Mus musculus: one gene and its partners. The protein of the gene in region 5 interacts with the protein of the main gene of each other region in a biochemical or structural test. Links are inferred from orthologs where the notes say so. Each region holds a gene or a part of one and is shown on either strand. Other genes may lie near its edges. The genes, in order: Pias4, Erg, Macroh2a1, Casp3, Parp1, Hmga1b and Ep300.

Region 1 (4,332 bases), on a different chromosome or scaffold from region 5:
CTACGAGGAAGCTCCAAAAAACACCAGAGACTTGGGGTGCCAGATACTTCAGCATGACTTAAGTACTCCCAGTATGACAGGGTGGGCTCAAGTTTGGCCTGGTGGCTACCAGGCTTCCCAGATCTCTAGAGGATTGTAGGGAAGCCCCAACTCTTCAGGGACTCTAGGGTATGCGGCCCTTGGGCACTCCCAATGTGGCCTTCACTTCCTACCGCATGCAGAGACAAACAGCACACAGCACATTTATACTCAAATCCTCACAACTCAGGAGAGAGGCACAGTGAGGTAGGTGCCCTCGAAGGTCCAGCTAAAGTCAGAGAGCTTTGCAGCTCCAATGGTAATCACGGAGTTCCACCACCCAGGACTGATGGCAAGCGTCTGAGCAGCCAGGTCGCTGCCATATGGTCTGGGTCAGGTTTCTCAGCAGCTGCTATGGCCTGAGCAGCCTGCTGGAGAACAGCAGGGCATGGGGACAGACGCACAGGAAGAAGCCTCCATCCATCACCCGGAGTGTATTTCCCGCCCTGGCACAGACTACCAGGGCCGAGTTTATAAACAGCATCAGCACCATGACTTCTGGAGATTCAGCTTGGGGTGTGATGTGGAGTGACAACCCAAACACAGAGAGAGAAGTGGCTGTACTTAGCTGTGACACTAGCCTAGGCTCTTTAGAAAGCTGAGATGCCCAACACAGGGGCAAAGGACGAAGGCTTGGCCCCAAGCCTGCTGCAGGCACCATTCACCCACAGGATGATGGAGCATGGTCCATTCATCCACAAACACCACAATCTCGCTTCCTGGAAACCCCAGGATGCCTCAAAAGACAGAATCTCTGGCCTGTTGGGACAGATTGGAGGAAAGCTACCAGAAAAGTGGAGGTATTGCTATCATTCTTAAAACACTGTGAGGGGCCATGACAGGAGTCCTCTGGACCATTTCAGAGTTTCAAAGAAGAGTCAAGTTCACCTAACTAAGGTGGAGGTGGAGGTCTAGGGGGCAGAGAGTCAAGTAGAGGTCATCAGCTTTTATTTAAAGAATCTAGACCGCAAAGAAGCAATCGCAGCCCTTCTCACTGAGGGGGGATGAAGGTACAGAGTCTTTGGCCTCACCCCAATGTTCTAGGATGGTACAAGGGGGACTTCAAGGAGTAAAACTGTGTTCCAGCCGGGCGTGGTGGCCCACACCTTTAATCCTAGCACTTGGGAGGCAGAGGCAGGCGATTTTCTGAATTCAAGGCCAGCCTGGTCTACAGAGTGAGTTCCAGGACAGCCAGGGCTACACAGAGAAACTCTTTCTCAAAAAAACCAAATAAAAAACAAAAAAAACTCCTGCGTTCCAGATCATAGTTTACATATCTCCATCTCAAAGTTCTGTTTCCCAAGAGAAAACCACTATGTAAATGGTGTAGATTTGGGGTGAGTAAATGGTGAGAAAGAGGGGTACACTTTTTTTTTTTTTTTTTTTTTGGTTTTTCAGGACAGGGCTTCTCTGTGTAGCCCTGGCTGTCCTGGAACTCACTCTGTAGATCAGGCTGGCCTTAAACTCAGAAATCCGCCTGCCTCTGCCTCCCGAGCACTGGGATTAAAGGCGTACGCCACCACGCCCAGCTGCACTTTTTTTTTTAAATGATTTTTTGAAACAGGATTTCTCTGTGGAGCCCTGGCTGTCCAGGAACTCACTTTGTAGACCATGTTGGCTTTAAACTCACAGAGATTTGCCTCCCTCTGTCTCCAGACCCCTGGGATTAAAGGTGTGCCACCATGCCTGGTGAGGACGACACCTTTTAATCAGATCCTCTAGAATAACCCTAAGGGTCCCAGTGGGGAGGGAAGGACCATGTCACAAGGCAGGCAGAAAAACGGGGGGGGGGGGGGCAAGTCTGAATCTTATGGGTGGGAAGATGCTTGAGGGGGACTGAGGAACTCCAATAACTCTGGAGGGACAAGTGTGCTGGAACCTTGACAGGGAGACAGAGCAGAACTGGATGTAGGCTAAGCCAAGCTGTACTTCAAGAGGGTTTAATGGGGACTCAAGTCAGGTCAGAGCCCTGGTACCTTAATGCAGAAATGGGGGAACAAGTCTAAACAATGTTCCCCTGGACTCAGTCAAGGTGTCCTGTGAGGATCAATCTGAGGAACACATAACAAGGAGGTGGTGGGTCCAGTATGCCAGGCAGCAGAGAAACTCTACAAGGCGATTCACAGGTTAGAGATGGGTTAGAGTGAGACAGGATCACTGGAGGCTGAAGTGAAGAGGTACCCCAGAGCTGACAAGTGGGGAGCGGGACTCGAGGGCTGAGTCTCTAAAATGAACTTGGGCACTTATAGTTGGCCTGAGTCTGGAGTCAGAAGGTGTCAGTCTGAGCCCCGAGAATCAGAGGACTTGTGGCAATCCCTGTAGACCTTCCCCATGCAGGCCTGTGGGGGAGGAAAGAGGGGGGGCACCCGGACCTGAGTCCTACTCGTTGCCTTGGAAACCTGATGGCGAAGTCACTTTGCATTCCTTCGGCTTCCCAGACCACAGAAGGACCCCCAGTTATGTCCCAACAGAGCTAACCCAAAGGAGAGGACAGTGCCTGCACCGGGAAAGCTGTGTAGCCACACTGTGGGAACCCCTGCTAGGGTCAGTAGAGAAGTGACAGTAGACGGCGGGGACACCCCAGGAGGGAGCTGGCGACCCCGCCCCCGGTCTCCCCGCCCCCCGCCCGCAGGTTCAGCCCGCGTCCCAGTCGCACCCTCGCCGCCCGCGCCGCCACACCCCGCCCTCCCAGCTCCCTGCGAGGAGCGGTCCGTACTCCGCCACCCGCCTGTCCCGGCCGGAGCCACTCTCGCTCACTCACTTTGGCCTCCACCAGCTCTGCCGCCATCTTGGCCACTAGCGTCCCCCGCGCCGGGAGGCCCCAGCCGTCGCGTCACGTGAGGGCCCTCGACTAAAGGGCGGAGCCTGCGCGAGAGCCAGTAAAAGCGAGTGCTGGCTCCTTCCTCCACGCCCCCGCGTCTGAGAGGCGGGAGGATGCATCACGCGCACGCGCCTACAGGAACCCCGCCCGAGGATCTGACCAATCACAACGGACAATTGCCAAATCCCGCCCCCCACGGTTATTTTTCAAGGCGCTGGCCGCTACCACGCCCACTCTGGGGAGGAGTCTGCTGCTTAAAGAAATAGCAGCACTTCCCGCCGCCTCATTTCTCTTGCTTTAGAGAACCGCTAAATTTTTGTGTTTATTTAGTGTGTACATATGTGAAAGTCACAAAACAGTCTAGGAAATTAGGTTTTCTCCTTCCACTGTGTAGGTAGCAGGGATGAACCAGCTAGTGCCTGAACCATATACCCTTTGCCCTGCTCCCTCTCTTACTGGCCCCACCTTTTCTGTAGAGTACAGGCCGAACCCCCTGCCTCGTTTTCAAATTGGCTTGCGGTGGCAACAGTTGTGGGTTTTTAAAAATTGTTTTTGTTTTTTGAGACAGGTTCACCATGTAGCCCTGGCTCTGTGGAACTCGCTTTGTAGACCAGACTGGCCTCAAACTCACTGAAATCCTCCTGCCCCTGCTTCCGGAGAACTGAGATTAAAGATGAACATAACCAAGCCCTGCGTAGCCTTGCTTCTTTAGGGCACAGAAGCCCCTCTAGCTGCATTTTTCCTTCTTTATTTGTTGGCTCAAGGCTACGCCCACTTTTCTGTGGTCTGTTTTATTTATATACTGGGGGAGACACGCAATTTTTGATCGTCCAAAGACAATCTAAGGGGTTTGTATATTTCCACAATATGGATTCAGGGAATCGAACTCAGGTCATCAGGTTTAGAGACTAACGCGAATAGGTGTGGGTGCGCGCGTTCCAAGCCCCCTAGGTGGACATCAGAGGACAATTTGCTGGAATTGCTTTCTCCTTTAACCAGGTGTCACAAAATGAGTTCTGTGGATCGAACTCCTAATAGACTTCTGGGCGATCACCATTTCAGGGGCCCTCCTTGGCTTTCTAACTACCCACAAGCCCCACCCAACCCCCAAATTTTCGAAGCTTGCACTGGGGCCACGCTCACTTCTAGCCCCGCTCTGGGTTTTTAAGCGAGAACGGCACCGCCCCTTGCTTCCGTTTCATTGGGAGGACTGGACCGCGCCCACGTGGGGAGGGTGGTCTTAAAGGTGTATGTGCTTCCTGCTCTGGTGCATTTTATGGCTCATGTTTACGGTTGCATTTTGATGAAGAGAAGGGTTGGGGATGAACAGAATGCGGCCGGGCAGGTGTCCCTGTTCCCTTCGAGCGGCAGCTGGCAGGTGTAGGGCTCGCATGGCCCTGTAGTGATGGGGTGTGAGCCTAGTCGGCCCTGTG
Region 2 (3,720 bases), on a different chromosome or scaffold from region 5:
GCCCAGACGAGGCACTCAACCAACCCATAAGCCTAGCGGAATGTGCAAGCGAGCTTTCTGCAGACAGACACCGCCTGGAGTCTGGTTCAGCTTTCAGCTTTCCACTCCCAGAGGCCAATTCTGTGCTTGGCATTAGGTAAATGTTTACTTTTGCATGAATGATATGTAGATTAATTACCTAATTCAATCATCGGAAAAGACATAAAGTATGACGCCGATGTAAATATTATATGCCAGATGCTTCTCCTCTGAAAAATGGCTTCTCGCGTAGTGATGAGAATCAGTCATCAGCGATTTGGGAATTGCTTTCTCACCCAAAAGGACAGACTGCTCATCAATCCTCCCCTTAACTGAGAGTGCAAGGGGTTCCTATCCTAGGCATTGGCTCAAACACTTGAAACTACTACTTAAGGCCCTGATCTGTTTCTGATTTCTGCTGTATTCATAGTCCACAGTAGAGGAGCCAAGCTGTGGACTCTGAATACAGCATCTCTGAATCTCAACTGCCCTTTGACAGGGCCAGGGAAAAGACTGGCTATATGCACTGCCTGTCAGGTCCAGAGCATGCTCCTGGGGTCACGGGCTGGGGTCCTGGGCCTAAGCAGGGCATCTGGGAGTCTCTCAATGAAGCAATCACATAGGGTGTTAGCATACCTGGCCTAGTTGTAATTCTTTGCGTAGCTTCGGGATATACTGAAGTATTTGGGAAAATAAAAGCTGCACCCCCTGCAGACAAAAGGAAAGACAAAGTGTGAAGGTCCTTTGTGGTGACTTTCAGCTTGAGCAACAGCACCTCGCCCTGTGATGTCAGGGGGTGGGGGGGCCTTGAAACTTCAGTGGAGCTCATGGCAAACAGGAGCTCTGCTCAGACAGGAGTGCATCTCCCTCATGCACGAAATATTATGCTGCGTTTATTTATTATTTCTTTGTGGGCTTCTTGACAGAGCCCCACCCGTGTCCCACTGGCAATCTTAGTTTATTTAAAATTATCTGTGGCACAGATATTATTATATTTATTGCCAATTGTATATGATTCACAAACTATTTGAACAGATTTTGGAAAGAGGTGTACACACGTTGCCTAAGACTACATGGACTGTATTAAAAAATCAATCCACCCCCCCACTCAAATACACGATTCTCCGTATTTTCCTCAACCAATGGTCACCTCCCCAGATGAGGAGGTTTCCGCTTTGACATTCAGCCCTTTAGAAATTTATCATCCTTGTCCTTTGATTGTCTCTATATTTGGCTATAATTTTTTTAAAAATCAATGAACTCTGAACTTTTGCGGAATTTTTAGTCACTGTTAAAGAATTTCTAAATGCATGCAATGTTAAGAGCCTGTGAGGCTCTAGGGTGTTTCCTGAGACAGGTTGATTCTACCAAGTTCTTTGCTAATTTTGGCCACAAGACCATTAGCATATTCATATGTTCGATACAGATAGAGAAGGGGGAGCTTAGAACACCTCACGTCACGTTTAAGAAAAGCACACTGGTTTTGAATACTGAAGACCAAGGTAAACCAGCTACCTATTACAAGTGAGCAGACTGAGGCTCAATTCATAAGATGCTGGACATTTAAAAGTAAAAGGAGAATGACTGGTAAGCGGCTATCTTACTCAGTTAGGGCAAGCAGTGGTTGGGCTCGCTTGCTTGCAAGGGATAAGAGGTTCCCCACCTCCCCTGATGCTTTCATCCCTAGCTGGGGGCTGGTAGGGTGTGGCAAGAAGTGGTCCTTGGCTAATCCAGTGGGTGATCAGCAAATGGCCTTGCATCCACCAGTGAGGCCATCAGGACAGGAGGTAGATGTGTACTTGGAACATAGGTAACACGTTTATACAAAGAGAACCCCAAATACACTGAGAGATGGAGGGAAGGTGAATCAGGACCAAGTGCCTTGTCCAGCCCTGGAAGGCTCGAGCATACGATAGACACAAGTGTAGATAGAACCTGTAGTTAGAGACAGGAAGGCAGGTGCTGGGCCAGGGGCCAGCTGTGTATTCTCCGAAATGGCAGAAGAGTTTCCCTCAGGTTTATATAAAGTGTGATATATTCCTCCCACTGCCCTTTGCAAACATACAAATCTGTGCAGAATATAAAACCAAGGCAAGTCCAACACCCAGAGCTGTCTGTAAAATACCAAGGAGTCCCAGAAGGCATTGCTTTAGGAAGGAAAATGGAGAGCAATAGGTCTGGAGGCCATTTATACTAGAGAGCTTTTGGTCTCCATAGGCAATGATGCTGGTGCACTGGGGCATGCTGGGGGATCAGAATGATAGTTAAAAAAACAATCCTTTCTCGGCCTACGGGGTTATGGTGGAAATAATGGGAACTGTTCAGGTACCCAATGGCTTCGCTCCCACATCTGTGTTCTAACCCCTAACCTGTGAGTTTCACTTTAAATCATGCACCTGTAGGTAGGAACCTAAGCATGCCCTGGGGATCAGAGGGGCTGGCATTACCTGTGTTTCTGGCATGCATTAACCGTGGAGAGTTTTGTAAAGCCTTATCAACGTCATCGGAAGTCAGATGTGGAAGGGGAGCTGCAAAACAAGACACAGAGCAGCACTGAGATAAAGAGATGGAGAACAAGCTTCCTAGAAAGAGAAATGGGCCGAGCAGTGGTGGCGCGCATGCCTTTAATCTTAGGAGGCAGAGGCAGGCTGATTTCTGAGTTCGAGGCCAGCCTGGTCTACTGAGTGAGTTCCAGGACTGCCAGGGCTACACAGAGAAACCCTGTCTTGAAAAAAAAAATGGAATTAAAAGGAAAAAAGAAGAAAATATATACACCTCCTGCCATAGCACGGGGGGAGGGGAGGCTGCTAGAACCATCTAAACCCTGTGATATAGGAAATACCTTAAACACCAAATGGGATGGCCCCACACAGGAGAGAAGTGTATGGGTGCCAGGCAACAACAGCAAGGGAGATGCGCCACCCTGTTAAAGTTGGGATCCTTTCAGACCATGCTCAGAGTTGTCAGAGTTAGATCACGCAGCAGTCCTTCAGGCTCACGCCACTGCTGACTAACGCACCACCCATTCTCTCCATAGAAAATGGAAAAAAAAACCTCCCCTTCTGTGGTCAGGTTGGATGGGAGGAGGGGCTTCGTGCCGCTCAGCAGAATTAACTAAGCACATCCCCAGCAAGAAGGAGTCCTTTCTGCCTTCCAATTTGGGCACCATGGAAAGTAGTGAAGGTGGCCACTTCTCTGCCATGTTCCATCGTCCTGGTCTTAGGAACCCACGTTCCATCGTCCTGGTCTTAGGAACCCAGGAGAGACTGCGTTGTTCATCTACCTCATGAAGTTCCACACACTGACCTGTGTGGTCCTCTCAGGTCAGACAAGAGGATCCCGGGACCACCCTGTCTGAACCCACTGAGGTTGGGTCTGCAGCCATGGTGACAGCTATACTTACTCTCTCTGAGGTAGTGGAGATGTGAGAGAAGAATGTCGGCATTGTAGCTCGGCGTGAGCCGCTGGAAGTCATCCTTTGTCATCTTGCACAGCTCCTTCCCATCGATATTCTGAAATAGTAAGACGTCCACATCGAGGAGGCCATATTCTTTCACCGCCCACTCCAGCCACTGTCGGACATGGTCTGTGCTCCACAGAGTAGGATCTAAAAGGGGAGGAAGGCAGACGCCATCAACTCCTAAAGGCAAATCTGAGGGCAGCCCAGTCAGCCCCAGCGTAGGACCCCCCCCTAACCTCCCA
Region 3 (4,282 bases), on a different chromosome or scaffold from region 5:
CCCACTTCTAGTGGTGGAGGAAAAGCAAACCCCAAACCCAAGTACCACTCGCAAGCAGGAAACAGCTTGTAGCTGGGGCCCGACTGCACTGTACTTCCTGAGCTCTGTGGAGGGACGGGTCCTGCACTGTAAAGGCAGCTTTGCCACTATCTCCTCCCCCTCCACACCCCCGGTAAAGACTGTGCTATGACAGCTCCAAAAAAAAGTTTTTTTTAAAAAAGCCATTAGAAGAATATGTGACCTTAAGAGAGCAAGAGCCGAGCCAGGCCAAGTATTTGGAAGCTTCCAGGTATTTGCTACACAGGGATCCCAACTAAGAGTGAGAGTAGGCCTGACCACTGCTCTCTGTCTCCTCTCTTGCTCAAATCCCTTTGGGGGTTCCTGGCTGCTCTTAGGATCAGCTGTGGTTCTGATGGGATTCCGTGGAGTATCCCCTGTCCTCGCCTGACCCTGCTACCCTGAGCCTCTAGCTTTCCCTCACAGGTTATCTTCTACAACTGGCACACGTGGTTTCTCCGGCCTCGGTCACGTGCCCCCATCTGTCCTGCTTTGGCCAGCAAACTCCCCCCCTTGATCTTTCCAAGGCAGATGGAGCTCAACCCCACTTACACAACTGTCCCTCCTCTACTGATGTCCAGCCGGCTCTCCAGGGCAGGGCCTGGCATTTCTTGCTCATGATTATTTCCTAACCCCGACATAATCACCTTTGGGGACATACTAGTAAGACACCAACCAGGCAGGGCTGCTCTCAGCAAGCAAGTTATAGGACTCTTTGGAATGAAGAGTTGGCCCACTTAGCTGCACTTACAGGAGCTGTAGCAGGAGCCCCCGCCCCTAAGCCTACAGAACGAAGGTGGTGGGTTTAACAGGTAAGGGTCCACCTCAGCCCCACCCCTTCCCATTTCATATTTCATTAATGGGCTCTGAAAAGCCCATCAAAAGCCAAAGGCTACTGCAAACCTCTGAACATCACATACAGATTAGTAGTTTCTCTCTTTAAATAAATCTTTCATCGACTTGGGGCACCATCAGCTCCAAGCTTGTCCCTAGGGGAGGCAGAAATGGCTTTCTAGGACCTGAGAAAATGGCAGACTGAACTGTACCACTCCCTAAAGCTGGCCCACGTAGTAGAAAGTAAGCCAGTAAGGAAGTTATCATATGTGAATTTCCAGACCAATCTCAGTGTGATACAGTGTGAGCTCTCCCTTCCTGGTGAAAACTATGACCTAGCTCGTAGCAAAATGAGAAAGAGGGAAAGTTTAAAATCTCGGGAGACTCCTCATCCTTAAGGGGAAAAAATCCCCACAAGTTGAAAAGGTTGATCGAGTCAGAGGTTGTGTGTAAGCCCAGTTGCTGTTGCTCAATTGGTCAATTGTGGACAAGCTGTAGTAACTCCAGTAGCGAGTATGAGGGTGTCCATTTCAGAACTAACCGCAACTTTGACTGCACACCTTAAGGTGAACCTACAGGAAATTTAGTTGGGTTTGGACTTTTGTCTTCCACTCCAGCACAGACTTTCAAAACTGGGACTCCATGCTGCAGTGTCTACAAACAAAACACTTCCTCTCTTTTAACAGTAAAACCTCAAACCACAGAGGTGTCAGCAAGAGGGAAACCGAAGAGGAGAACCCCTCTAATTGTCTATTCTTCTAAGCTGTTTTATTAGATCGTTAAAATCTTACAAAGACTTCATAATGATTGTAATTGTTGGAGACGAGATCTGCCTCAACTGCTTGTTCAAAAGTTACACCGTCAAACCTAGAAAACACTTTCCCCTGCATTTCTTCAAAGACTCTTTCAAGCAATCTTCTGCCCAGCAGTGAGATATCGGTGGTCTCTGCAGGAGTGGGCGCTGGGCTCAGCATCTTGCACACCTGTTGTCAGGTGACACCGTCAGCAGCATCCCGCGCCTCCCATCTCTACTCACCCCACCCCCAGAGACTCTCAGCTGTCCCTCTGCGCGCGGGGAGCCTCCAGTCTTCCAGAGTCACCTTAAAAATAACACCTCCCCAGCACAAAGCAAACAAAAGGCGAGCGAGAGCCGCGGGGCTTCCATAGCTCCTCTCCAGCCCGCCCCGGCCTGGGATTCCGTCCGCGAGTGGTCCCCAGGCCTCGCCTGCTCAGGCCTCGCGGCGGGTGCCCCACCAGCCGGCCTCACAACGGCCTGTGGCTCGCGCCCCACTTTATTGTGCCCGGGAGGGCACGCGCGGGCCGGCGGCGCACGAGCAAGTAAACTCTGAGCACAGCAGCTCCGGGCCCGGGCGGAACGGCTGGTCACGGCCTCCGGGCCTCGGTGCCCTCGGGCCCACGCCATCCCTGGCTCTCCCTCCCGGGCAGAGGGGGAGACCCGATCAGCCCCTTGCCCACAAAGCGCCCCGGCGGGGGTAGGGGTGCGTCTCCGAGCGAAGTTGGTTTCCGGGTTTGCTTTCCGAACAAAACCATCCGGACCCGCACGCTGCCCCGGGCAGGGCCTTGGCGGACTCCGGGCGGCCCGAGGTCCGAGGGTAACCGCCGGAGCTTCCCGGGCGCCAGGCAGTGCCCCGCGCGCGGCAGCAGTCGGGCGCGCGGGGCCCAGACGGGGCGGACCGGCAGCCTGCGGCTCCGAGGCCCGCGCGGCACTTACCGGGCGGCTGCACGGTGAGGGGCCCGAGGCCGGTCGGCCGCTTGCGCCGGTCCGCTCCGCACTCCTGCCTGGCCGCCCACGCCTCCTCGCTTCCCGCCCGCGCGTCCCGCGCTCGCGCCCTCCGCCCGGCTCCGCTGGAACCAGTGAACTGGAACCACTCGCGGCGGCCCCGGGATTCCCACAATGCACAGCGCGCCGCTCGTCACATCCCTTCCCGGCCTCGCGCGTCCGGCCACCCCTCCCCGCGCCACTCGGCGCCCCGGCCTTGACCCCGGCCTGCCTCGGGCCGCGGACGCCAACGACGCCAGCCTCGGTTGTACCCAGGCCTTGGTGCTCTGCGCCGCCCCCCCCCCCCGCCCCCAGGCATCGGTCTGCGCGCGGGAGCTGCAGGGGTCCGGCCTCAGAAAGGTGCCTGTAGGTAGCGCGGCTCTGCAAGCGTCTGCTGTGAGCACCTACTGTGTGTCTGGTGTCCCCTTGTCCCCAGTAGCCTCGTCCACAAAGAGGGAGGGTAGAACAATTGCTGTGACCAGGGATCTTCTTCTGCCCGGTCAGCACCAACTCCGCGCCTCAATCCAGCCTCCTGACTTTTTAAATACAAGGCAGCTGTGTGCCCCAAGATCAGCTACCGTAGCTCAACTCCCTTGATCAGTGGGATTCTACAGAGCTGGCCTCAAAGTCTGGTCTTGCTTTGCTCGTGGAATCGGTTAGCTACCTCCACCAAGCAAACGTTTGTTGACTACTGGCTCCAAGTGGAGACTTACTGATTTAAACAGTTGATACTTTTATTACATATTAAGGTGGTGGGGTGGGTGTCAGCCAGAGAAAGGGCAGCAACATCTATCCACAAAACTAAAGACTCTCCTTCAGGCCCAGGCTACACTAGAATATTAGCAGGTTTTTGGTTTGTGACCCTTTAACAGCTGGGCCATCTCTCCAACCCTAGCGCATTTTATAGACACAAAAAGCATTGTCTAAAGCCCCTGGCCCATGCATTCATTATTTCAAGTAAATATCTGGGACATTCTGCACACCATGCATAAACTTGAGTGTAGTTGTGAAATGGTGAACAGAACTGGCAACTCCCACCCCACCCCACTCCACCCTACCCCCATCCCGCTTTCCTGGAGCTTACAGTCTGGTGGGAAAAGAAAGGCAAGAGACAAAGGAATCACACATTACAGAGTATAAATTCTCAGAGGAAACAAGGTAGGAAAAAAAAATCCTAGGAAAGGTAAGCAGGGGTGTATTTGGTAGTCTTGAGGCTGAAGAGATGGATGGCTCCGTGTATAACAGCACTTCGTGCTCTTGCAGAGGGCCAGGATTCTGTTCCCAGGATTCATTTGTGTGGTCCTGATAACTCCACTGGGGGGGGGGGGGGGGCTCCAGTGCACTCTTCTGACATCCATGAATATCAGGCACCACGGGGTGCACATACACACAAGTAGGCAAAACACTCAAACACACAGAATAAAGTAAGTCCATCTAACCTTTTAAAAAGAGCGAGTTTCAGTAAGAAAGAAACATTTCTGGAAAGGCCTGAGGGAGTAGAGGGAGCAAGCAAGCCATGGAACGGGTACTGAGGAGGAGTACTCCAAACATGAAACTCCAAAACTATTATGGGCTGGAGTATGAAAATGAAGTCCAGAAAATGGAGGGGAA
Region 4 (4,481 bases), on a different chromosome or scaffold from region 5:
TAAGAAACCCTATAACAGTATACTGTTTCAGGTGTTGGTTCTTTTCCTCCTCCCTGGTCTCCCACCCCAAAGAGCAAAACTCTACCAGATAAATGACCTTCACACCATTTTTACAAATGATTAACTTATCATGTAATTGCTATAGTAATTTAGCTTATGAAGGCTAAGTCTTCTTGCAGATGTAGGCCCTAAAACGTTTACCTATTATACTTCTAGTTCAGTTTTCTCGCCAAATGGAAGAGAGTGACCACGCCCCGCTTTTAGATCACTTCAGAAAGCCATCTTACTCCAGCTCCTGGAAAGCAGTCACATTGCTTTTCATGAATTCTTTCTCTCTTGAGGCCCAGAACGGCTTCAGGTCCCTCTGGGTCCCCATTTACAGGGCGGCTTCAGGTCCCTCTGAGTCCCCACAGTGAGGAGAAATTACAGGGCTTAGATGAAAACTATCACCTCCAGATGTTTTGCTCTAACGAACTTCTCTAGATGAAGTCAACATTAACGGCAGGAAACTGCTGAGGATACCTTATCTAAGGTATCACTTTGTTAAGAACGTTTAGCACAGGGAGGGGTCCGGGCACAAGGGGTTTCTCAATTAGACCCTTCCTTGTGAACTACAGCCTCCACGATGCACTGCGAGGGTTGAATGCATCCTACTGCTAAAGTCCAACAGAAAATGGCTGATTCTAACTTACTTTGGGAGGGATAATGATAGATCAATTTGTTTCTGGAATCTACATTTAACCACTATGGCTCTTCATGAGAGCAAACCACTTATCTTTTTCTTTCTTTTTTTTTCCCCCCCAAGACAGGGTTTCTCTGTGTAGCCCTGGCTGTCCTGGAACTCACTCTGTAGACCAGGCTGGCCTCGAACTCAGAAATCTACCTGCCTCTGCCTCCCAAGTGCTGGGATTAAAGGCGTGCACCACCACTGCCCGTCCACTTATCCTTTTAAAGCCTTTGATGGAACTGGAAAAAATAAAAAATGTATTATGGAAATGCAAGAGCTTGAATTCCACACGCAACGAACGGTAGACATCTGTGTGGCTACGTGTACGTCAGTCCCTTACATCCAACGAAGCAAAGGCGGTGAAGGCAAGAGGCTGCTCTCTGGAGTACATTTGTCCTTAAGAATATTCTGGGCCCCTGAAATTCGATGCTGATCGCTGTGCTCGTGTTTTCGTATATTATGCAAAAACAAAACAAAACAAAACCCACTTCCCAGAGTCAGAGTCTGAATGAAATAGGACGTAAACCAGTCAGAGATTTCAGTAAGGTAGTCAGGACCTCTCACTGAGGGAGCAAGAGGTGGACGGAAGTGAAGAAAGGCCTCGGTGCAATTGAGAGGAAGTAGAATTACCGAGTGCGGGGCACAGCTCTATTTTCTCCTGCCAGAGTTCTGACTGGCAGAGGCGCCTCCCTAGACGCCCATCTTGGCGCCCCCGGAATCAGGCGTGGCCGAAAGACCTCTCTAAAATTTACCTCAAGTGGCGCAAGTCGGCCGGAGGCGGCAGCTGGCGGAGCCAGAGATGGCGGGAACCAGAGCTTGAAACCCGCGCGAGGGGGCGGAGCCGGAGGGGGCGGGGCCCTAGGCTTGCCCTGGGTGGGCGGGGCCTGCGCTACGAGACGGGGCTCAGTCGGGGCTGAAACCACCAATCGCGACTGGCGTGTGCGAGATGAGGTGTTGGGGGGTGTGTGAGGGGGGATGGGGCGGGGAGGTAGAGAAGGGGCGTGGCGTGGGGCGTGACCGGCGGTAGTCTGCTGTTGCTGCTGCTGCTGCTGCAGTTGCAGTGTTGGTGCTGGTGGGATCAAAGCGCAGTGTCCTGCGGCGGGGAGCTTGGAACGGTACGGTGAGTGTCTGCTGCTCTCGCGCCTTCGAAGGCCTGTGTTGTCCCCCGGAGCTGGCGCTCTTTTGGCGGGTCTGCAGCTCCTTGGAGGAGGCGGGGGAAACGGGCAATCTGGGCGGAGGATCCTTTGTGTTGCCTCCAGGCTTGCTCAGGCAAACACTGAAGGCAGAGAAGCTGGAAACAGCGCCGGGAGCGCGATCCCGAGCTGAGAACCCAGACCCGGGAGGCCAAACCGGTGTCCCTAAACCTGGGTGAGCCGGTGCGGTGTCCCTAAACCTGGGTGAGCCGGAGCGGGTTCAGACCCCTCGAGCATGGCACACGGGCCGCGCTGAGGCTTAAAGGCGGAGTCAGGGGGGTATCTGGAGATCGCCCGGGGTACAGAGCTTCAGGGGCGGGAGGGGGTGAGGCCATAGTGTGGGGGTGAACCTGGAAGCCGAGTGGCGGGAGGTGGCGGGATCCTGGATCTGCAGGCCGAGGTGTGGACTCGGTAGCAGAGGATGGATAGGGGAAGTTCTGCCCTGGGGCCTGGAAGCTAGGCTGATGCTGACCTTGTGGCGGCTCTAAGTGACCCAGCCTCCCTCTGTTACAAGAGCATTTGATCTCCACCTTTAGTTTTCTCCAGTGCACTGTGATTTTTGGTTCTTGCGGAGAGCTGATTTTAAGCATTACTCCTTGAATACTCCAGCTCATTCCTTTGTTGGTCAAAGTCACTGTAGGAGCTTGCATTGACATCTCTTGAGCCATGCTCGGTTACTGTCCCTTCTTCGCGCTTATTAATTAGTCTGTGAAGTTCGACTTGAACAGCAGGGTCTTTACCTCATTCTCCGTTGAGTCACCCAGGAAACGTCCTTCTCAGGCACCTCTTGTGGACCCAACTTCTTCCGCCGTTAGTCCCCGAGCCTTGTAGACCTACGAGTCTGACAGATTTGTACCTGGCCCCTCTTCGGAGTCTTGTGGACTTTCTACGTGTCTGCCAGACTTGTGCCCACCTCAGGGAACTGAAGCAGCCTCCTTGCAGGTCTCTGTCTCCCGCCCAAGACCCCTCTCCAGTGCTCTCTTTAAGACACGAACAAAAACAGTTTTCTAGATGTTCATGTTTACCCTGAAGGCTTAAGTGTAAAACCGTATCCTCTAAACCGGGTTAGCGAAGCCAAACCCTGGGTCTTGGCTGTCTCCCCCCGCCCCCCCCCCTTTTTAGCAGAATGAAGAAGCTCTCCAGGCAATATTGGATACTGTGTCCTTTTCGGGTTTTCTTTCCAGCCCTCTGAGTCCACTGGCTCACCTTTTCTCCCCCTGAGACATTAGCTTATGAACAGGAGCTGCTACGGAGGTTTCCCTTAGTTAGCAATTCCTAGCTGAATCTTCCCATTCCTCCCTTTGCGGCAGGCATTTCCTGAAAGCAGCCGTGTCATATCCTCTACTTTTGCTTGTTTATTGTTTGCCTACCGAACTGTGAGCAAACAACAGTAGGCTCGAACTTTAGCTTGGCTCCCTTCCTTACTGGCTTTTTTTTTTCCACAAGTGACTACTCAACCCATTGGGGTGGGTGGGAAATGTGGGGCCATCGTTACAGTAAGAGTATACACAATAGCAGAGGAGATGCTAAGCTGGGGGTTTGGCCAGCCTTTGGGAAGTTACTTTGGATATGTTAATGGTGGCCACAGGCAGGAGCCCTAAGTATGGAGTGTAGAACCCTGTGACAACCTGGTGTTGAAGCTTTAAAGAATGGCTTTGTTTTGCTGTCCAGTAGACTAAGGCTTTTGGAAAGTGAGAAGGTGTTTTTTTAGTGAGTGGAAGTTTATTGAAATGTAGCCATCGAACTGCTACAAAGTAACAAGTGAAATCCTGCACCTAATTAAATCAGGTTGCTTTTGTGGTCCTGCAGAAAGGTTCTGCCTCCTGCTGTTTTAAGTAGGAATTCTGTATCTTTATCTGATAGAAGCGGGTCCAGGGCCACTCTATGGTTTCAAACCTAGCAACACATTCACTTCATGCGCTTTCTAAAGTTACAACACAGTCTTTTCTTCAAACACATTGCATTAGTTCTGATCTTCGTGTTAGATAATATTAAAGTTCTACCCCAGTGATAGAGGTAGAATACGATGTGGAAATTCTTACATTCTTGAGTACTGTTTTATATATAGTCATTTAACAGATTAAAAAAAGTTTGGAGAGGAAAGGGTATTCCATCATCATCATCTGACTGTCTGAGGCCAGGAGCCCGGGGCCTACCAGCTTCTTCATAAATAAAGCATAATCTATATTGCTCAGAGGGTTGTGTAAAGATCAGATGAAATAGTATGTGTGACATTCTACATAATAGTCCTTGTTCTGGTCTCTTTGTTTTGGCCTTCAATATTACCTGGGGAGGGTCTTCATTCTGCTAAAGTACAATGAAATTATCTAGTAAGAACAGAACATGGACTGCTTAATGTCTACCTTGCTGCTGTTTTTAAATGCCAGTGAACATACATAACAGCTCTGGATAGGGGTAGAGTCTGCCTCTTCCACTACTTCATACGCTCAGGGTTTAATGAAACATCTTCATACAGTTGATAATCAGTAGATTACATAGTTATCTGTAATTTTTATAAAAGACATCAAGGATCTTCCACTCTATACTTTTATTTCAACAAC
Region 5 (3,720 bases):
ATCCCTCCCGGAGCCATACCTGCTGGAGCAGAGGAGTTCACAGCTGTGGGTGCTGAGGTGACAGAGAGGGGCAGTGCCAGTGGTGCTGGGGCGCTGCTTTCTGGAGGGAATATTCGGTCCTGTTTTTTGACCTTTAACTTCTTGAGGTAGGATATTTCTCGGAATTCCTAAACAATGTTAAGTTTTAGTTTTAAAGACATTAGAGGTCTCTTAAAATAAACTTACAATAGATTAAGTGGGATTTGTCCTGTGAAATTAAATAATCTTTTAAAAATCCCTATAATTAAATAGGAAAGGCTTAAAGTTCCCAGGAAGAAAGCGTATATACTGTTGTTTTCACAGGGCTCATCCCTACATTTACATAATCCAGGTGCTACGGGTGACCTAGGTGAGAAACCTCACCCTTTAGGAATAAAATGCCAGCGAGGTGATCAGTTTGTGCTGCCAACCAAGGGATGGAGTTTGGCCCAGAGCCCACATGGTGGAAGAATCTCCCACAAGCTGTCCTCAGCCTCTACATGTGCCCCTCCTCAACTAAGGGTAATATTTTAAAACAAAATAAAAACCTTAGCTGACAACTTAGTGGGGGAAGCATCACTAGACCTAGGAGGCATACTGGGACCATCCTGTCCCCAAGTCACTTCTCTCAAGTGTCTATCATGTGCTATCAGGGGCTACCACATGGTTTAAAAAGCCCCCAAGAGTAGCACACTTAGGCCAGGGTTAGGGTAGGTGACAGACAAGTGCACACCTTTAATCTTACCACCTAGGAGGAAGAGGTAGGCAGATTTTTATAGGTTTGAGGCCAGCTTGGTCTACATAGTGAACTCTAAGACAGCTAGGACTACAAAGAGATAGAATGAACTATTATTAAACATCAAAATCCAAGGAACTACCCAGGTACAGGGGACCCTTACTACACGTTCCCCCAAGTAAAGGAAGCCAGCCCAACAGGCTGCACAGGACATTATAGAAGTGCTAGAAATAGGAAAACATGGAGCTGATGAAAAAAGATCAGTGGTTTCCAGAGGCTGGAAGTGGAAAGACAAAGAGAACATGGGAAGTCTTAGGGAACAGATGTTGTAAATGATGCTTTCCTGATGGGTACGTTCCATTCTATGTTTATCAGACCCTACAGACTGCACAACGCCAAGAGCGAGCCTTAATGTAACTTATGGGCTTTGGGTGATGTTGTGTCAGTGCAGGCTCATCAACTCCCAGGGTGCACCACTCTGATGCAGGGAATTTATGCTGCGGAGGGTATGCAGGATCCAAAACCAAGCAACAAAACACACCCAGTGACAGATCTTCACGTTTCCCAAAGGAGACAAGGCTAATAAGTCACTCACTCGTTAGGGAAGAGCCTGCTGTGAGCCCTCTTGCATTCACTGGGAATTAGTCATTATTATCATAATCATTAATTATTATCATAATTATTCTGAGACTTACAGTAGGCCTTGCCCTACGGAGGTTGGCCACTTGATGACGTCTGGTGAAGAGCAACCCCTGTGCTCGAGTCTCTACACAGAAGGGTAACTTTCCCAGCTGTGCCCACACTCAGTGAATGGTAAGCAAGGTGCCAGACACCTCAGACTTACCCTCACCAATGCCAGGTGGCATAAGCAGGTTAGATAGAGGATTTCTGCCCTCAAGAAAGCAGTCCTGTCTGAACTGAGTACAGCTAAGAGCCAGGAGGGGACAGCAAGCATCACCAGGCTGTAATGGATCTTGCAGCACCACCCCAAAAGACATAAGCAGGCAGGCTGCATCGATGGCTAATTCTGCTCAGTGTCATCTTACAACTGTCCTCACCAAAGGCAGTAACAGGCACACAATGCTATGTGAGGGAGGAAAGCAGACAGGCTGAGATTCTAAAGGTGAGAGAACAACAGGCAGGCTACAGAATGGCTATAGGCGGAGAAAGACTGGAAGGGAGGGTGGAATTACAGCAGTGAACAGAGAACTCTCTCCTCAGTACTGATATGAGAAAGGGTGAGAAACGCGCGGACTGTCACCTTGTGTGACATGCAGCATGGCCATGTCCAGAAGGTGGAGGGAGCCATGGTTTCCTGCTGACAGAGTCCAGGAAGCTCCCCACCTTACCTTTGGAGTTACCCATTCCTTTCGGCTAGGATTCTGTGTCTTGACCATGCACTTGGTCCAGGCAGTGACATCCCCAGTACAGTAATAAGCGTCGCTCTTAAAGACCAGCTGGCCTGAACACTCCTTGCAGGGCAGAAGGGCCCCAAACGCCATGCCGTCAGCAACTCTGTCCAAGATCTGAAGAAACATGCCAGAGACCAGGGCTCAGGAAAGGACAGTTACCAATGCAGATGGAGAAACTCTCACACAGGCTCTATCCCTGCAAAGAGGCTGTCTCTGGGCGCTACCTTAGCCCAGGTGCCAGGTGACAACACAGCCTGGGTTTTGTATGTTTTGAATCCTTATCTCCAAGTGAAGGGTCCTACCGCAAGCACTGCACCACACAAGTGGCCCAAGTAGGCACGGTGGGTTTAGCAGGCCTGGACATGTAGCAGCAGAGAGCAGCTCTCAGAAGAGTATGAACTAAATCCACGGCAAGGGCACCTGCCTACCTTGGTACTTCACCGGGTTCTAAACCAGGACAAACATGGCAATGTATGGTATGGCTGGGGTGGCCTACTGGCTGAAGGAGATGGTGACCATGATTGTTTTGAACAAAATCTCATTAAACATTGGATTTTCTCTGCTGCTCAGAGAGGCGGAGAAAGCACCTAGGAGACCACCCTCCTCAGCTGAGGACACCTCGCCATCTCAAAAACCCCTCACACTCAGTGTCCTGCCCTCTACTTCCGTACAGCCTTCTATCTGTCCTCTCGACTCCCTCTTACTGTTGTTTTCCTATGTTCACTTCCTGTCATCTGGCTGCTTGCCTACCTCTGACCTAAGGCTGACTTTACTTAATCCTACTTACAGTATACAGAAAGCTCCTGGATTAAAGGTGTTAGGGATGAGCCACACCACAACTAGAAACAGGTTTTTCCAAGCAAATGACATAATCTTGGAGGTGATCAAATATCCTGCAGCTCAGGATAAGCTCCACCGTCATGGAGCCTGGGTTTCCCTCCTGTGTGTCCCCACAGCAGGGGCACTCACCGCTGACTCTCCTGACGGCACCTGCTGCTGGTTGAAGATGAGCAGCTCCTTCAGGTCGTTGGTGGAACACGCTTTCTTCAGCTCGTCTTTGATATTCCAGATCAGCTCATTCTGAGCCTAAGGATGAGACCCCCAACTGAGATCAGTTCTTGTCAAAATCTTAACAGCTTTCTTAGCTTACATTTAAAAAGTTACATTCACTTATTAACGCGTGTACACTACTATGTTCCATAGGGCATGTTTAGAGATCCAAGAACGTGGGAGTTGATTGTCTCCTTCCACAATGCAAGGGCTTGATTTTATTGTTGCTGGTGTTCTGGGTTTTCTTTGGGAGGAGGGTCCTTTATTATGTAACTCACTATGTACATCAGGCTGACTGGCCTCTAACTCTGCCTCCCAAATGTTGGGATTAAAGATGTGTATTATGATACCCAGCCCCTAGTGTAGGCCTTGTAGATCAGGTCACTAGGGGTCAGTGAGGGGCTGCCTTGATCTTGGGGCCATCCCTGGGCACTGCGACATTACACAAAGAGGAGCGACTTCATTGCCATTGAGGCAGGGAGTGTGGGCCTCCTCCTTTTGGGA
Region 6 (3,644 bases), on a different chromosome or scaffold from region 5:
GAAGAAGTGTGCACACACATGTAGAACGTCTGACAAAGCAGTGGAAGCATGTGTGCACACACATGTGCCTGTGAGAGGGTCTGACACAGCAGTGTAGCGGGAAGGAAGGGGCAACCTAAAGAAGGAATCTGAATTTTCAGCAATGAGATGTGGAGTCTTGAACCCAGGGCCTGAGAGCATACTAAGCCAACGGTGCCCCATCAGTGATGCTCGGTGATGTGAGCCACACCCTCGGCCCAGGGCAGTGAGATTGCTGGGTTTGGAATTATCTGGACAGAAGCATCAGCTTGGGACTTTTTGTTTTGTTGTTATAAATGAAGGTAGTGATGTGATCTAGCTGGAGCAGGCACACTGGATTCCAATGCCCAGGGACCCAAGAACCCACCATGCCTGCAGTGTGTCTAGAGAGTCCCCTGGCTGTTCCCCTCAATCTGTTCCTCCCAGGTGCCCCTCACCTGCTGCCCCGTACCAGCCAGGAACTCCGCCTTTGGCAGAGACACTGAGGCACCGTCTTTACTTTGAGGCAGGACTCTTGTAAATCTTTTTTTTTTTTTTTTTTTTTTTTGACTGTCCAGAAAAGGCTATTTGTTTTTTATTCAAGTAACTGCAAATAAGAAACCAGGGAGGAAGCCCCAGGCTGGGACAAATACTGGCCACCCCTCCCCCACAGAACAAGGGGAGGTGGCCCTACACCCTTTTCCCATCAAAGTGGGCCCCCATCCTCACTCTGCTGCAGCATCCACGGGGTGGGGCCCCATCTTCCTTAGTGTGGGGTAGGTAACCAGTCTGCTGCGCCCCAGCCCCCCTTCCCCTCGAGTGTATTGTGTGGGGGAGAGAATACAGGCAAATTCAGGAGGATGAACATCTGACGCTGGTAGCAGCAGCAATAGTGGGTATCTAAGAATGAACATGGAACAAAAAAAAAACAACACAACCGTCCAGAGGTAGTTTGTGAACAGAGGAGAAGATGGAACCAGAACCATGGGGGGCAGGGAGGAGCGAAAAGGAGGGGGCGGCAAGGCTAGCTCCTTAGTGCCCTGCGGGAGGAAGGAACAGCCTAGAGTGGACTGGGGGAGGCGTGTTGGTGCCCGTTTGCCTTTGGTGGAGGCGAGAACAGGCCCTTACTCTGGAGATGGGCGGTAACCCCATCTGTCTAGTCTCAGGTGAGAACATTAAAGTGGGTGGAGCCAACATCATCCTACTTCCTGTTGTCAAGGGGCTCAGCCAACCCAGTGCATGATCTCTGTAGGGTGGGGCAGGAGGGGCTGAGAAACCCACCCGGTGATACTTTGGTGGGGACATGCTGGGATCTAAGCATCCCCTGCCCTGACCACACTGCTGCTGCTAGGTCAGCCACTGGGCCTTGTCAGAGTGAGATGGGGCCGGGGCCCCTTAAGGCCAGGGAATGCTCCCAGGACCCTCTACGGGGAAGCCAGGAACAGCAGGGCAGAAGGGACCCGCAAAACAAAGCGCCCAGAGAGCCACGGCTCTGAGGGAGGTGCGCAGCAGGCCGGGCTGCGGCTAAATGGGAAGTTAGCCTTGTCAGGATGGGGCAGGTGTGTTCGGGAGGAGGGCACAGGGACTGAGCCGAATCCTGCTCCCTTGGGTGCTGCGGAGCAGAGCCTGCAGCTGGTGCCTGGTGCGGTAGTGTGCAGTGGGGGCGGGGAGGGGCCTGGGAGCAGGGCTTCCAGTCCCAGGGGACAGCTGCTCCTCAGTGGCTATGGAGCAGGCGGCACTGCGAGTGGTGATCACTGCTCCTCCTCAGAGGACTCCTGGGAGATGCCCTCCTCTTCCTCCTTCTCCAGTTTCTTGGGTCTGCCCCTTGGTTTCCTCCCTGGAGCTGTGGTGACTTTCCGGGTCTTGGCGGCGCCCTTATTCTTGCTTCCCTTTGGTCGGCCCCGAGGTCTCTTCGGAGTTGGCACTTCACTGGGCTCTTTCTGACTCCCGACCAGCGCCGTCCCAGGACTCACCGGAGGCTGCTTGCGTGGCCTGCCCCGGCCTCGCTTCTCAGTCCCATCCTTTTCCTGCTTGGAGGCCAGGGGCTGGCTGGACTTTGAGCCCGACTCGCTCATTCTCCTTCTCTATGTGTGGGGCAGCACACAGTGAGTGCCTTCTTGGAGCCGCGCCAACACCAGAAATAGCCCCGACTCGGAGTCCCAATTAGAGGCGACTCTTGTAAATCTAAGCATGGATTCTGGGGTTTCCTGCCCCAGTTGCAAACCCTGAGTACCTCTGTGCATCTCCTCTTCTCTGAGCAGAGACCTGGTTCTTTGGAGCCAGTTAGGAGTAATCAGAGAATATTGTGCACCTCAACCCGTGTCTGGCGATTGTTTGAGGTGTGCTGAGGGTCTCTTGTCTTGTGTGTCAGGGTTCATGGAACAAGTACTCACGATCCAGTGAGTCATAGCAGGTCACACGACATCTGGGCCGGGCAGGAGGCTCAGATGCCTCATGGACAGCCCTGGGGAGGAGGTGTGCTCAGACTGCCGCCTTTCCCTTGCTCAGTCCAGGCTCTGCACTGAGACCGTGTGAGTCGCTGAAAGGAGGCAGCTGTACTTCCAGTGCTCTATAGTGCAGGGACAGCAGTACCCTTCCCCTGAGCATTCCTCCGCACTGGTCAGAAGGGTGCTCTGGGACCTTCCTGTGGCTCAGGGGACAGCATACACAGTGGGGGCCCGGAGCCCAATCATTTGCTGCTGCCTGGCAGTTTCCTCATAGCTAACAGGGACAGATCATGCCTGCTCACTGTGTCCTTGATCCCAGTCTGAGCAAACCACCAAGTCCTATAGCCAACCTCCAGGTGGCACTGAATACTGGTGTCTGGCCTGATCTATCCAGTAAGATCAAAGCCCTTCCCCTTCTATGACAAAAGCTGTGGATTGTGACCAACCTGCTGTCTGGTGGCCATCGGAACTCCTGGGAAATGGTGGCCTTTCAGGGATGCCAGTTGGCCACCAGGCAGGAGGAAGTGGTTTACCAGGAAGGGAGCATCAAGCTCCAACGTCTTGGGAAGACAGTCATCTGCTAGCTTCGCCCTTAGGAGCGCATTTCTCCTAAGATGTCTTCACCCTCCACAGCTCCTGCTCTATCTCCTGTCACCTATGTTGTCTGAAGACTTCTCTATCCAGAGTCATGTGCTGAGCCCTAACTACAACATTATGTGAGGACTGTTGTATAACAGTTTCCTTTGAAATTAAAACACCCCATCCTGCATGGAAGTTCCTTAAGTAGGGATGCAAACAACTCATATAGTTTCAGGAAGTTCCTGAAACTGACCAATTTCACAAGATCCCTTGCTGTCAGGGTAAGCAACAAAAGCTGAGAGTCTCTCTCAGACAAACCAAGCAGCAAAGAAGAAAGACTGCAGATCAGAGCCCAGAAGACGCAAAAGTCAGCTGAGTTACCTACCTACTGTCGTCATCTCCACTCCGAGCCGGTGGTGACAAGAACGACACAGGCACCAAGTCGGGTTCATGCAGCAACATCTTTACTTCAGGCTCTTTCTTTTACAGCTCTCTTCCCCAGCAGCTTCTTCTTAGGGGAAGGGCTAAACTACTCACTACTCTACTACTACTCACGGCAAGGGCTAAAACTACTCTTATTCACTACTTCTGGCTTCTACCTATCTTGCGTGCGCCGGACTC
Region 7 (3,720 bases), on a different chromosome or scaffold from region 5:
TTGCTTTGGACTAGAGAATTGGCACAAGGTTTAAGTACACTCACTGTCTGCTATTCCAGAGGAACGCCAACAGCTCACAAAGAAAAAAACTATAATAAGCCAAAAAATGCCAAGTGGTGGTGCACTCAGGAGGCAGAGACAAGCAGATCTCTGAGTTCAAGGATAGCCAGGGTTACATAGTAAGATCCTGTCCAGAAAAACAAACACATGCATACATATATATGTACATGCATACATACATACAACAAATAATATCCTTGTTTAGCTGGTGATTCAGAATATCAATATTACTTTGTTGGTCCTAAGAAAATGAGCAGAATCTCATATCAACTTATGTCTTGTTCTTAAATTCAACAAAAGTATTGAAATATTATATTCACAGGTTTGAATCAATTTGGGCAGATGAATATGCCACAGCCCCCTATTGGACCCCGGCAACCCTCTCCTCTTCAGCACCATGGACAATTGGCTCAGTCTGGGTCACTCAATCCGGTTAGTTTTATCCTTTCTACCCTTTAAAAAAAATTCTTTTTTCTTTGTTACAACTTCAGGAAACATTACTGTCTAAGCAGAACACGTTTTAGTTCTTGCATGTATGTTCTTCCATGTGTGTTCAGTGATCAAAGTGAAGATTCTCAGTCTTAGTTACAAGTACCTTTTATTTCTGACACATGTTGACCACATGAGACCTCTTTTAATAGTGTAATTTTCATATATTTGGCCTTTAATATTACATAGTATAGCTTAGAATGTATCTCAGTAAAAGAGCACGTAGAAGACTTGGTTGTCTCGTTAGCACCATAAAATAACCTCCAATCCCAGTTAAGTAGACTGTATTTTATAGATGAGAGTACGTTTAGTTGTTAGTCATCCAGGATTTCACTATGTAGCTCTTAACTGTCCTAGAACTCTTCATGGAAACCAGTCTGACTGCAAAGTCAGAAATCAGGTTACTGCTCACTTCCAGAGTGCTAGGATTAAAGATGTGTGTTATCATGCCTGGCTAAATACAAAATCTGAAAGAACTGGAGGGTCAGGAATTAATATACAACACAATTGATTTGTGCTGGCGAGATGGTGTGAAAGTATAAGCAACTGAATCTTAGATCCCCATCAGCCCATAAAATCCAGGCTATGGTGGCATACACTTTGAACTCCAGTGCTACAGTTGGAGATTTCTGAGAGCTCACGGGCTGTCCATCCCAGCCTAAAATGTGAACTCCGGGTTCTATGGGAGGCCCTGTCTGAGAAAATGAAGTGGAGGACCTGGGTAAATAGCTCAGGTAGTCGGAGAGTTGTTGCTTTTCTATAGCATTCTGGCTCAGTTGGTCAGTGACGTTATATGGTGGTTCACCAACATCCATGACTACAGAGCTAGGGTGTATGTTAACATAGTCTGACTTCCATGACTACCTGGAATGTGTGTGATATACATATGTACATGTAAGTAAATCATACACATAAAATGAATCATAAAGTAGCAATAATATGTTTTTAAAAACAAAATGAGGTAGAGGGAAAGTAGAAGGTATATTCCTATTGCTATGGTAAAATACCATGACAAAAAGCATCTTAAGGAAGAGTTTTATTTTGGCATATGATTCCGGGGACTAGACATGTATAGTGGCATGTTAGGTATGGCAGCAGGAGCACAAATCTTGAGATGTAAAAGGGGATTGTAAGTCTATAAACTCAACACTCACTTACTGACATAGTGTCCAAAAAGGCTATATTTGCTGAAGATTTCATAATAGTGCCCCTAGCTGGAGACCAGATTTTCAACTGACCACGACTGTGCAGAGAGGTTTCTCATTCACATTACTGTAATTTCTTATTTCTCCATACTTCCTTTTATTAAATGTCTAGACTCATGTAAGGCAGTTTTAGAAGAGAAAAGTTGTTTGTTTCTTGTCAGAGTTCTAGATATCTTGGAGCCCTGTGTCCCTTCACCTTCTTCTTTCTTGAGGTTGTGTTTGGTACTTACAAGCCTATTCCTATTAGTTTTTACATGACTACAAGTTCTTTCACTTACACCTTAGGCTTCTCTTACCCAAGCTATTGTCTTTTATTTTTCTCTATGCAAGAATCTGGATAGTAGGGCAAGAGTGATTGCTAATTACAGTTGGAAAATAATTATAATGAAGCAGTTGGTGACCTATGGTTTGTTGTGTTTCTTTCTTTTTGTTTATTTGCAGCCTATGGGCTATGGACCTCGCATGCAGCAGGCTTCCGGCCAGAACCAGTTCCTCTCCCAGACTCAGTTCACATCCCAAGGAATGAATGTAACAAACATGCCTTTGGCTCCATCCAGCGGTCAAGCACCAGTGTCTCAAGTATGTTTATTTAAAATTATGCTTAATGTGCACATATAGCACACATACAGGACAATAGTATGTACCCGACTCTCCTTCTTCCTCTCTGTGGTGTCTGAGAGTGTATGCAGATTTCCAGGCTTGGCAGGCAGAGACATTCTTTCCTGCTGATAACAATTTTCATGAGAAATAGTCTATATTTTCTTTTGTTCAAAGACAGGTCTCACCATTTAACCTTGGCCTTTAACTCAGAGAACAAACCTTTACTTCTTAGAAATATTTATTTGGAGTTTTGAGACTAGATCTCATGTGGTTCAAGCTGGTGCCTGTGACTCCAATTCCAGTGGGTTTGATTTCCTCTTGTGGCTGCTTTCTAGTCAGGCATGCACAAATCCTAATCCTGTAGGATTTTCAATGTTCCCCCTTCTTTGAAAACTGATTATGTTCAGGCATACATACTTTTAATCCTTGCTCTGGAGACAGGGGCAGGTGAATGGATCTCTCTTAGTTAAAGCTAGCCAGGTCTATATAGCAAGACCTTGTCTCAGAATGAAAAATGTTAGATACTGTTTTTTATTTATACTTACCATGTGTACTAAGTACTATATGTTCTGCCTTTGTGATATCATATATTTTTCGTTTTCACAGGCACAAATGTCCAGTTCTTCTTGCCCAGTGAACTCTCCTATAATGCCTCCAGGGTCTCAAGGGAGCCACATTCACTGTCCTACTCTGCCTCAACAAGCTCATCAGAATTCACCTTCTCCTGTTCCTAGCCGCACCCCTACTCCTCATCATACCCCCCCAAGCATAGGGAATCAACCACCACCAGCAACAGCAATTCCAACACCTGTTCCTACACCTCCTGCCATACCACCTGGACCACAGCCCCCATCTCTGCATCCCTCATCTAGACAAACACCTACACCACCAACACATCTGCCTCCCCAAGTGCAGCCTTCACTTCCTGCTGCTCCTTCTGCTGACCAGTCCCAGCAACAGCCTCGGTCACAGCAGAGCACAGCAGTTTCTGTTCCTACCCCAACAGCACCATTGCTGCCTCCTCAGCCTTCCACTCCGGTAAGTAGCTGTGTATTGGAGTGTCTGTAGAACAAGTTAAGCTCCAGCAATGTTTTTGTTTTTCTTTATCATGGTTTTGTTTAGTTTTGCTTCCCATTTTGCTTTATTCTATGTTCTAGGGTAAAAAAGTATGTCATCACAATATACTTTACATACATAAAAACATTTTGAAACAGATTAAGTTGCAGTACTGAGAAATTAAACTAAAACATTATGGGACTAATTACACGTAAACACACAAGTCAGAGGACAACCTGTAGCAGTCGGTTCTCCTCTCTACCAGGGATCAAATTCTCTAAGGAAGTCCTCTTTGGAACTAACACCAAAA

The links.
Region 1: of the proteins of Parp1 (region 5) and Pias4, one has a biochemical effect on the other in vitro, tested with the Homo sapiens proteins (3 studies listed by BioGRID and IntAct, with this or other methods). The link is inferred for Mus musculus from reciprocal best matches to the Homo sapiens genes PARP1 and PIAS4.
Region 2: the proteins of Parp1 (region 5) and Erg form a complex in vitro, tested with the Homo sapiens proteins (2 studies listed by BioGRID and IntAct). The link is inferred for Mus musculus from reciprocal best matches to the Homo sapiens genes PARP1 and ERG.
Region 3: the proteins of Parp1 (region 5) and Macroh2a1 form a complex in vitro, tested with the Homo sapiens proteins (2 studies listed by BioGRID). The link is inferred for Mus musculus from reciprocal best matches to the Homo sapiens genes PARP1 and MACROH2A1.
Region 4: of the proteins of Parp1 (region 5) and Casp3, one has a biochemical effect on the other in vitro, tested with the Homo sapiens proteins (9 studies listed by BioGRID and IntAct). The link is inferred for Mus musculus from reciprocal best matches to the Homo sapiens genes PARP1 and CASP3.
Region 6: the proteins of Parp1 (region 5) and Hmga1b form a complex in vitro, tested with the Homo sapiens proteins (2 studies listed by BioGRID, with this or other methods). The link is inferred for Mus musculus from reciprocal best matches to the Homo sapiens genes PARP1 and HMGA1.
Region 7: the proteins of Parp1 (region 5) and Ep300 form a complex in vitro, tested with the Homo sapiens proteins (2 studies listed by BioGRID, with this or other methods). The link is inferred for Mus musculus from reciprocal best matches to the Homo sapiens genes PARP1 and EP300.

Annotation. Positions count from the first base shown.
Region 1 is NC_000076.6:81,164,846-81,169,177, forward strand, and holds the start of Pias4 (E3 SUMO-protein ligase PIAS4), read right to left. Parts: upstream 2,876-4,332; 5' UTR 2,867-2,875; coding exon 2,840-2,866; intron 1-2,839.
Region 2 is NC_000082.6:95,376,647-95,380,366, forward strand, and holds part of Erg (transcriptional regulator ERG), read right to left. Parts: intron 3,626-3,720; coding exon 3,422-3,625; intron 2,547-3,421; coding exon 2,466-2,546; intron 727-2,465; coding exon 655-726; intron 1-654. UniProt on the Homo sapiens protein: Transcriptional regulator. May participate in transcriptional regulation through the recruitment of SETDB1 histone methyltransferase and subsequent modification of local chromatin structure.
Region 3 is NC_000079.6:56,132,723-56,137,004, forward strand, and holds the start of Macroh2a1 (core histone macro-H2A.1), read right to left. Parts: upstream 2,829-4,282; 5' UTR 2,624-2,828; intron 1-2,623. UniProt on the Homo sapiens protein: Variant histone H2A which replaces conventional H2A in a subset of nucleosomes where it represses transcription. Nucleosomes wrap and compact DNA into chromatin, limiting DNA accessibility to the cellular machineries which require DNA as a template.
Region 4 is NC_000074.6:46,615,655-46,620,135, forward strand, and holds the start of Casp3 (caspase-3), read left to right. Parts: upstream 1-1,636; 5' UTR 1,637-1,847; intron 1,848-1,969; exon of another isoform or gene 1,970-2,124; intron 2,125-4,481. UniProt on the Homo sapiens protein: Thiol protease that acts as a major effector caspase involved in the execution phase of apoptosis. Following cleavage and activation by initiator caspases (CASP8, CASP9 and/or CASP10), mediates execution of apoptosis by catalyzing cleavage of many proteins.
Region 5 is NC_000067.6:180,582,290-180,586,009, reverse strand, and holds part of Parp1 (poly [ADP-ribose] polymerase 1), read right to left. Parts: intron 3,253-3,720; coding exon 3,136-3,252; intron 2,281-3,135; coding exon 2,104-2,280; intron 168-2,103; coding exon 20-167; intron 1-19. UniProt on the Homo sapiens protein: Poly-ADP-ribosyltransferase that mediates poly-ADP-ribosylation of proteins and plays a key role in DNA repair.
Region 6 is NC_000077.6:120,761,317-120,764,960, reverse strand, and holds Hmga1b (high mobility group protein HMG-I/HMG-Y), read right to left. Parts: upstream 2,168-3,644; 5' UTR 2,073-2,167; coding exon 1,971-2,072; coding exon of another isoform or gene 1,938-1,970; coding exon 1,749-1,937; 3' UTR 569-1,748; downstream 1-568. UniProt on the Homo sapiens protein: HMG-I/Y bind preferentially to the minor groove of A+T rich regions in double-stranded DNA. It is suggested that these proteins could function in nucleosome phasing and in the 3'-end processing of mRNA transcripts.
Region 7 is NC_000081.6:81,624,143-81,627,862, forward strand, and holds part of Ep300 (histone acetyltransferase p300), read left to right. Parts: intron 1-382; coding exon 383-492; intron 493-2,195; coding exon 2,196-2,333; intron 2,334-2,960; coding exon 2,961-3,392; intron 3,393-3,720. UniProt on the Homo sapiens protein: Functions as a histone acetyltransferase and regulates transcription via chromatin remodeling. Acetylates all four core histones in nucleosomes. Histone acetylation gives an epigenetic tag for transcriptional activation.